Linked DNA regions of Alligator mississippiensis. The protein of the gene in region 1 interacts with the protein of each later gene in a biochemical or structural test. Links are inferred from orthologs where the notes say so. Each region holds a gene or a part of one and is shown in the gene's direction. Other genes may lie near its edges.

The links.
Region 2: the proteins of FGFR4 (region 1) and FGF19 form a complex in vitro, tested with the Homo sapiens proteins (2 studies listed by BioGRID and IntAct). The link is inferred for Alligator mississippiensis from reciprocal best matches to the Homo sapiens genes FGFR4 and FGF19.

Annotation. Positions count from the first base shown.
Region 1 is NC_081832.1:79,316,792-79,320,693, forward strand, and holds the start of FGFR4 (fibroblast growth factor receptor 4), read left to right. Parts: upstream 1-1,397; 5' UTR 1,398-1,439; coding exon 1,440-1,539; intron 1,540-2,193; coding exon 2,194-2,283; intron 2,284-2,625; coding exon 2,626-2,792; intron 2,793-2,961; coding exon 2,962-3,085; intron 3,086-3,624; coding exon 3,625-3,815; intron 3,816-3,902. UniProt on the Homo sapiens protein: Tyrosine-protein kinase that acts as a cell-surface receptor for fibroblast growth factors and plays a role in the regulation of cell proliferation, differentiation and migration, and in regulation of lipid metabolism, bile acid biosynthesis, glucose uptake, vitamin D metabolism and phosphate homeostasis.
Region 2 is NC_081825.1:215,291,110-215,295,011, reverse strand, and holds the start of FGF19 (fibroblast growth factor 19), read left to right. Parts: upstream 1-1,516; 5' UTR 1,517-1,863; coding exon 1,864-2,098; intron 2,099-2,241; coding exon 2,242-2,345; intron 2,346-3,902. UniProt on the Homo sapiens protein: Involved in the suppression of bile acid biosynthesis through down-regulation of CYP7A1 expression, following positive regulation of the JNK and ERK1/2 cascades. Stimulates glucose uptake in adipocytes. Activity requires the presence of KLB and FGFR4.

The DNA of each region.
Region 1 (3,902 bases):
AGGTCAGCACTGGGCTCTGCCTGCTGCACCTAGCCCGCACATGGGCACAGACAAACCTGGGCATCCCCTGAAGCAGGCTGACCCCTGGGGCCTTGCGGCCCAGGCCTAGCAGGGGCATCCCCAGGGGAAAGCAGCCTTGCCTGCAGCACCCGGCCTCTCACCCACAATATGGGCTGCTGGCCCGGGAAGGAGGCAGGGACTGTGCCACCCGGGGCCTGGCAGAGGGCTGTAGGCTGGTCCCTAGGAGCGGGGGCAGCGGCTGCCGCCAGGTGGCAGCCCCGGGGCAGCAGCAGGGCCAGGCCGTTGCCTGGGGGAGGAAGGAAGGGCAGGGCAGGCTGCCGGCCCTGCTAGGGAGCGGTGCCAGCCGAGCCCGCTGCCGGGGCCAGCACCGCTGCATGAGGCTGCCACTCGGAGCCTGCAGCTGGCCTAGGCAGCGGCAATGCAGCCCCTGGCCCGGGCAGCTGCCCTCCCGGCCTACGGGCACCCGCAGTGAAGGGGTCTCCTCCTGCCTGGGCAGGAGGGGGCTTCATGGCCCCGGCTGCCCCTCTGCAGACAGCAAGCGGCTGTGGGTCGGGGCGGAGGGCCTGCAGAGCCCCCAGGTCGGGGCCGTGGGGCACTGGGGTCTGGCCCGCCCGAGCCGAGCCGAGTCGTGCCAGCCCCTGCGGCATTGCAGTCTGCAGTGAGCCGCCGGGCCCCGCCAGCCCTCCACAGCCAGGATGGGGCCGTGCCCGCTGCCCCAGACCTGCCCGGGCTGTGCCCGTGGACTCTGGCTGCTCCGCGGGGAGGGTCCCCCGGCCGCAGCCCGGGGCCCGCTGTCTACCGGGGGCAGAGGCAGGGCCAGGCCCGGGTGCCCCCACGGCAGCGGCCGCCCGCGCCCCCAGCCCCGGCTGCGGGGTCAAAGCTTAACTGGCCCCGCCGCCCGCTCCCCTCTGCCGGCCGGGGCGGGGGCAGGGTGACCTGCCCGGGCCCTGCGGGGGAAGCGGGCTCGGGTCGGGCTGGCCCGGAGCAGCGAGAGCCCGGCCGGGGAGGGACGAGTGAAGTTGGTTGCCTAGTCCCCGCTCCTTATTCCCGGCTGCTTTGGCAGCGCTAATCTAGACCCGATAAAAGCCTGGTGTTAATGAATTACAGCGAGAGCGCGCGTCGCTCGCCGTGCAGACGCACTACTTCGTATGTAAAGTAATAGCCCGCGGGAATGAGCGTCCGACTTCAGCCTCGCGGGGGGAGGGAGGCGCGGGCCGGACTTTGCCCGGGCTCGGGGCGGCCCCGCAGCCCTTCGTCACCCGGTTAAACATTAACCCTTCCCTGCCGGCAGCTGCCCGCCGGAGCCCCCGCGGGGCGGGACGGGGCGGGCCGTGCGGCCGGGGCGGGCCGGGGCGGGGACCGGCTGCCTCTGGCCGCGCGGTGCGGGGCGGTGCGGTGCGGGGCGCGGGCGCGGGACGATGCAGCCCGGCGTGTGCGCCCTGCTGGGGCTCCTGGCCGCGCTGGCAGCCGGGGCTCGGGCGGCCGGGGCCGGGCCCGAGGACCCGCCCGCGGAGCCAGGTGGGCGCGGGGCGCGTGTGCGGGGCGCGGACGGGCGCCTGGGCTCCGCGCTCCCTCCGAGCGCGGCAGCCCGCGGGGCGCACGGGCGGCGGGTGGCGCGGTCCGCGCGGCCGGTGCCTGGGAGACCTGGCTGCTGCCAGGGCGGCCCCGCGAAGACAGCCTGGGTCGGGGGGCACCGGAGGAGCCCTCTCTGCCCTGCCCTGCCCTGCCCTGCCCGGGGAGGCTGCGGGCTGCCGGTGCCCCCGCCACTCCCCCGGCCGGACCGAGGGGCTCGAGGGGGCGGGAAGGTGGCGGGATCGGGCCGGGCGGGAGGGGCCGCTGGCGGAGCCACGGGCACAGGCTCCGGGCACGGGCCCAGCCGCGCCGGGGCGCGAGGCAGAGCGCAGGGGAGAGGCTCTGGGGCAGGCGAAGCTGCTGCGGGCACCGGGCTGGCTGCCCCGCGCTGGGCAGCGTGGCCCGGGCCCCGGGGCGTCCGGCTCCGGCTCCGGCTGGAGGCCGGCGGCGAGGACCAGGGGGCTGCGTGGGCCGGGCGCCGGGCAGGGGGTCCGCAGCGCCATCCCTCCTGCCCCTGCTCCACGGTGCCCACTGCTGGCAAGGGCTGGGAAACTGCCCGTGCCGGGCGGCAGCATGACACCCTGCGGCACTTCGTTCCAGACTCCCTGGCGTCAGGCGATGACGATGAGGATGGGGACGGGGATATCTCCCAGGGGGATTCGCGCGAGGAGCTCCTGCACTTCCGCAGAGGTCAGTGCTGTGGCCAGGCTGCCCCAGGCCCTGTGGAGCAGGGAGTCCCCATTGCCTGCAGCCTGGCAGCACCACACGGTCCCCCAGGCCCTTTGCACTCCACTGTGGCTGCCCTGAGCCGGCCGGCTGGATCAGGCCCTGGCCTGGGAGAGCTGAGCATGCACTGTGCCCCTCCCTGCAAGCTGTGCCTGCACCTGCCCTGCGTTGCAGCCCCAAGCACCCGTGTGCCTTGGCAGAGCCCACTGCGAGCTGGCCGCCCCCGCCCACACACACCCTGTTCCCGTGCTCCATAGCTGTCCCGGCCCCATGGCTAATGGGCACGGCCACCCATGTCATCCTCAGCGCCCTACTGGACGCACCCCCACCGCATGGACAAGAAGCTGTACGCGGTGCCCGCGGGCAACACCGTCAAGTTTCGCTGCCCGGCATCAGGGAGCCCCAGCCCCAGCATCCACTGGCTGAAGAATGGGCATGAGTTTCGGGGAGAGCATCGCATCGGCGGCATCCGGGTGAGGGAGCGGGGCTGCCCCCTGCCTTCTCCAGGGGCCTGTGGCAGAGGTCCTCTGGTAGCGACCCCCCTGCCGGGCCAGGCACCAGCCAGGAGCTGGGTGCCCTGCAGAGAGCTCTGCCCAGGTGCCAGCTGCCCCTCACCGTGCTCTGTCCCGTCCTCTCCCCCAGCTGCGGCACCAGCACTGGAGCCTGGTCATGGAGAGCGTGGTGCCCTCCGACCGCGGCAACTACACCTGCCTGGTGGAGAACAAGTTTGGCAGGATCCGCTACAGCTACCTGCTGGACGTGCTGGGTGAGCCCGCTGGCCGGCAGCACGGGGGGCTGATCCTGGGGTCCTCCCCCAGCAGGAAGCCTGCAAGGAAGGGGCCTCTCAGCTGGCGCAGACCCCCAGGGAAGGCTCTGCTCCTACGTGGGCTGCCTGAGTTGGGCCCCTCCCGTGCAGCTCCTGGCGCTGCATCAGGGCCTTGCTGTTGCCCTTGGGAGCTGGGAGATAAGAGGTCATTGATCCCTCTGCAAACTTCAAAGGGCCTCTGGGAGCGTCGGGGTTGTAAAGTCCAAAGCAAGGAGCCAGCATACCAGCACCCCCCCCCCCCCCACTGCTCCTTATCAGGGCCGGGCCGGCGGGCGGGGATGGACCGGGCAGGCAGGGGGGGCCCGAGGATCCACAGCCCCGTGGGGAGGGACAGATGGGTGGGCTGACTGGGGGCCTCTGGTTCTGTGGGGCAGAGGTTTCCCAGGCCATGGTGCCCCCGGTCCATGGGCGAGGTGCCAGAGGAGGGCAGGGCCCAGCCGGGTGCAGCCCCGTTGGCTGACGCACCCCACTTCCGGCAGAGCGGTCCCCGCACAGGCCCATCCTGCAGGCCGGGCTGCCGGCCAACACCACGGCCCAGGCAGGCAGCGACGTGGAGTTCTTCTGCAAGGTGTACAGCGACGCCCAGCCCCACATCCAGTGGCTCAAGCACATCAAGCTGAACGGCAGCAGCTACGGCCCCGACGGCATCCCCTACGTCCAAGTGCTCAAGGTACCAGAGGAGAGGGCGCGGGGGCATCATGTGGACCCGGCCAGGCCTGATTGCTGCTGGGCAGACCCCGTGGTGCCCTGAGGAGCT
Region 2 (3,902 bases), on another chromosome or scaffold:
CAGGGAGAACTGAGACTTAAGGTTTAAAGTTCCATCTAGCGGCCAAATGAGAAATGACTTAGAGGTAAGAAAACCCAGCGCAAATGATCTGTATGTTTACAACCGAGTGCTACCTCCTTCTGAATGCTGAGTTGATCAAGAGCTGTCCTCCTGGCCCGCACTAAATCTTGGAATTAGGAATTACATCTTCCTAATTCAGAAGAAAGCAAAATAGGAGCTACAGCCTGAGGGTCTGCAGAACTAACCACAACATTACTAGGTGCTCTGAAGAAAGCTCACCTCTGTCTTTTCTGGATTGGCAGGGAGTGTGACATGAGTTACTGTAACACTTGCACGCCTCATGGGATGCGATCTGATTTCTGCTGTTATATCTCAGACACTCTACAAGCAAACCCTATTTGCAAAGGAAGCAAGTGGATAGACAATGCTTCCACCTCTTTGATGGTATATTCCCCTCCAGGGGGAATAGCATTACAGTGTGTGAATGTATGATTTGATTTCCTTGGAATCCAATGCTGAGGCACCCAGTTATGACTGCATTAATGAATGGCTTCATATTAAAATGATTGCAATCAGAGTATTTTCCTGATCTGCAGCCTCTCCCTCATGGTCAGGGAGAGAAGATGAGCTGGTAAGAGTGGCTTATCCTGGCTGGGCTACTGAGAAGCTGTAGAGATGACCCTTGCTTTGAGGACATGTGGGGGGGGGGGTTCTTATTCCTCCCATATTACAGGAGTTTCGCCCACTATCTCATCTGTGGCTGTCCTGAACTAACCTCTGTTGACGAGGGTAAATCATAGTGAAAAGACGGGTCCTAACCCTTCTGAGCTCCTTAGGTCACCTCTTCAGTCTCTTTCCTAGTGCTGTTAGCCAAGGAAGCACAGGAGAGAACCTAATATATAAGATGCCTAATATACAAGATATACCTAATATACAAGATGTCAAGAAAGAGGATTCTGAATCAGTGTCTGGGCAACGGTGTATGTTGCAGGGGAAGGGCTTCTGCAGGTTTAGAGCCTGACTAAGGGGAGGGTTTTTCTTTTTGGGGTTGTTGGGGTTTTTTTTTTTGTTGGTAACTTCATAGTTCATTTGTGGTTAATGTGGATTTCTTTCAAGATGATGTGCCCATTCTTCTTTAAAGTGTGGAGGGGGCATTGGATCCCTGGCCACCAGCTGATTGACTTGGACAAGGAAGTTGTGTCATGCTGCATAACTGGGACGTTGAGATTGATTTCTTTCTTCCTTCCTTTCTCGATGACTCCTGCCTTCTTTTCCCCAGCAGGCAGAGATCCGGGGGGCTGCTTTCCTGCCGGGCTGCTGGATGTTGAGGCATACACACAACCGCCTCTGCCACCCCCGGACGGGCACGGCGTGGGCAGAGGCCGTTTCAAACTCCGCCAGTGCCCAGGCGCCCGGTGCCTCCCGGGTGGCGTGGCGGAGGTTTGCATGAGGATGAGCCGCACGTGATCTTGCTCAGGCTGGAAGAGGGCTGATTTCAAATACGAGCAAGATTGCAGGATAAAGCTTTTCCAGGGCGGGCGCTCAGGGTGTCTCCTGTGAAATGATGTCATCCGATCAATATTTTAGCGGGGAGTGACTGATCCGGCCAAGTCCTGCTATGAAATAGTCGCTATATTGGAATTGGATTTAGCCCTATCGATTGGGCTGATAACAGGGACCTATAAAAGGCAGGGGGATTGGCTTTGCGTTTACTACATCCCTGAAGCAATTAGCTCCAAAAGCACCAAGCCGCTGCCTTCTCTCGTAGCAGCATTGGCGCCTCTGCTCGTGTGCGGGAGAGAAAGAGAGCTGGGAGGAGGCAGCTTGCCATTTATATTACCTGGGGCGGTGGAAAAATAAAAGATGTGGCAGCCCCTGTGCAAAGCGCCGACGTCCCTGGCTCTGCTCGGACTCTGTTGTGCAATGGTGGCCGATTCCCTGCCTTTCTCCGACGCAGGGCCACACGTGAACTATGGCTGGGGGGAGCCCATCAGATTGAGGCACCTCTACACTGCCAGCAAGCACGGACTGTTCAGTTACTTCCTGAGGATCAGCAATGATGGCAAAGTGGACGGCACCACCAGCCAGAGTCCTCAAAGTGAGTACAAAGGAAGGGAGCCGCACCTGAGCCCTGCCCGCGGGAGGAGGCCCGGGGAGGCGGAGGGCGGCGGGCCGGCGGCGATCTAGCTACCTCCCCGCTCCTGCTGTAACCTGGCTTTTCTCTCTCGTTGTGCTCCGCAGGTTTGCTGGAGATCAGGGCCGTGGCAGTTCGCACGGTGGCGATCAAGGGCGTGCACAGCTCGCGGTACCTCTGCATGGAGGAGGAAGGGAAGCTGCATGGGCTTGTAAGTTGCGGGCGCGCACTGAACCAGCCTGGGAAAGTCAATAGCTGGCGGGGCCGGGCGGGGGGGTTGCATGCGCTCGCAAGGGCTTGTTATCGTGTCCTCCGGCCCCGGCCAGACAAAACCGCTCCAGCCGACCGCATCTTCCTTCTCACGCCGTTAGGGGTCTGGCGTGGGCAAGGCAGGAGCAAGGAAATGAGCCTGGAGGGGTTGAGGCGGGTCACGCTGGGATGCTCTCCAGAAAACAAAACAGCACAAGGAGCTCGCCTGCATTCCCTACCGCAAGCTTTCACGTGTCGTGAAGGTCTGGGACAGACATTGCATAAACCAGGTTGACCCACATCAGTTAAGTCTGATACTACAGTCAACCAGGTTTAGCTCCAACTGGTTTCAGCCATTTTCAAACTGGTTGATGTGCACTAAACATCTGTAAACCAGTGACTGAGCACTTAAACCGGGTCATGTGGAATGTGTGTCCCTAGCCTAAGGCTTAAACCCCCTCTAACCTAAACTGGCCTGGAGGATTAGCTGAAGGTGTATCAGGGACCCCCACAGAAGGCAGACAAAACTCTTGAGATTCATAGACTTATAGACTGTAAGGGGCTCAACGGGACCTTGCAAGATCATCTGGTCCAGACCCCTGCACTAGTCAGGAAAGACAACAATGTTTACTTTTGTCACAAGGGGCGTCCCTAGAGGCTGCTAGTGAACATTTAATTTTGCTGCCAAATAATAATAGTAGTAGTAGTAGTAATAATAATAATAATAAAACAACTTTCCAGAACGACAAATAAAAAAAATCAGGGGAAGTGCTCCAGTTTTGGTTCCCAATTGCATTTTCTCCCTTTGCAGTTTTCTTTACATTTTCTACTTTCAAAGAGAATATAGGTAAAAAAAATCCCAAATCTATATGGGGCCCTGCCATGACAAAGACAATCCACTCAGTGCACTTTAGGTTTTCAACAGTGCAGGTGTATTTTTACTTGTTTTCTTACTGTTCAGCTTAGGTATTCTGTAGAAGATTGCTCCTTCGAAGAGAAGATATGCCCAGATGGCTACCATATGTATAAATCAAAGAAATATGGGGTTGCTATCTCTTTAAGTAGTGCCAGACAGAAACAAGAATTCAAGGGGAAGGCTTTCTTCCGTTGTCTCACTTCTTACTTGTGATCAACAGTTCACCTGTAAGGGTCATGGGAGACTGAAGACTTATAGTGACTCTCTTATCATGTTGTTAACTCATGGTTTTTCCATCTACATATTTCAGCATATCAGTTAGATACATCAGCAGTACAGTCCTGCTTTTGTCAGATGTCTGTAATAACTAGTTAAGTTGCAGAGAAGAAGCTAAATACATCCTCAGGTGATAACTATGTAGTTAGTTGAGAGATACCGGGAAGAGTTACTTTCCTCTTAGAGCCAAATGTAAGGCTTAATCCTGCTTTCCTTACTCAGGCAAAATTCTTACTGTTTTGGCCAAGGGCTAGCACAGTGGCAAATTTTCCATTTGCTTTAAATGGAAATAAAGAGTAGGATCTAGTGGGAGATTTATTTGAGTAT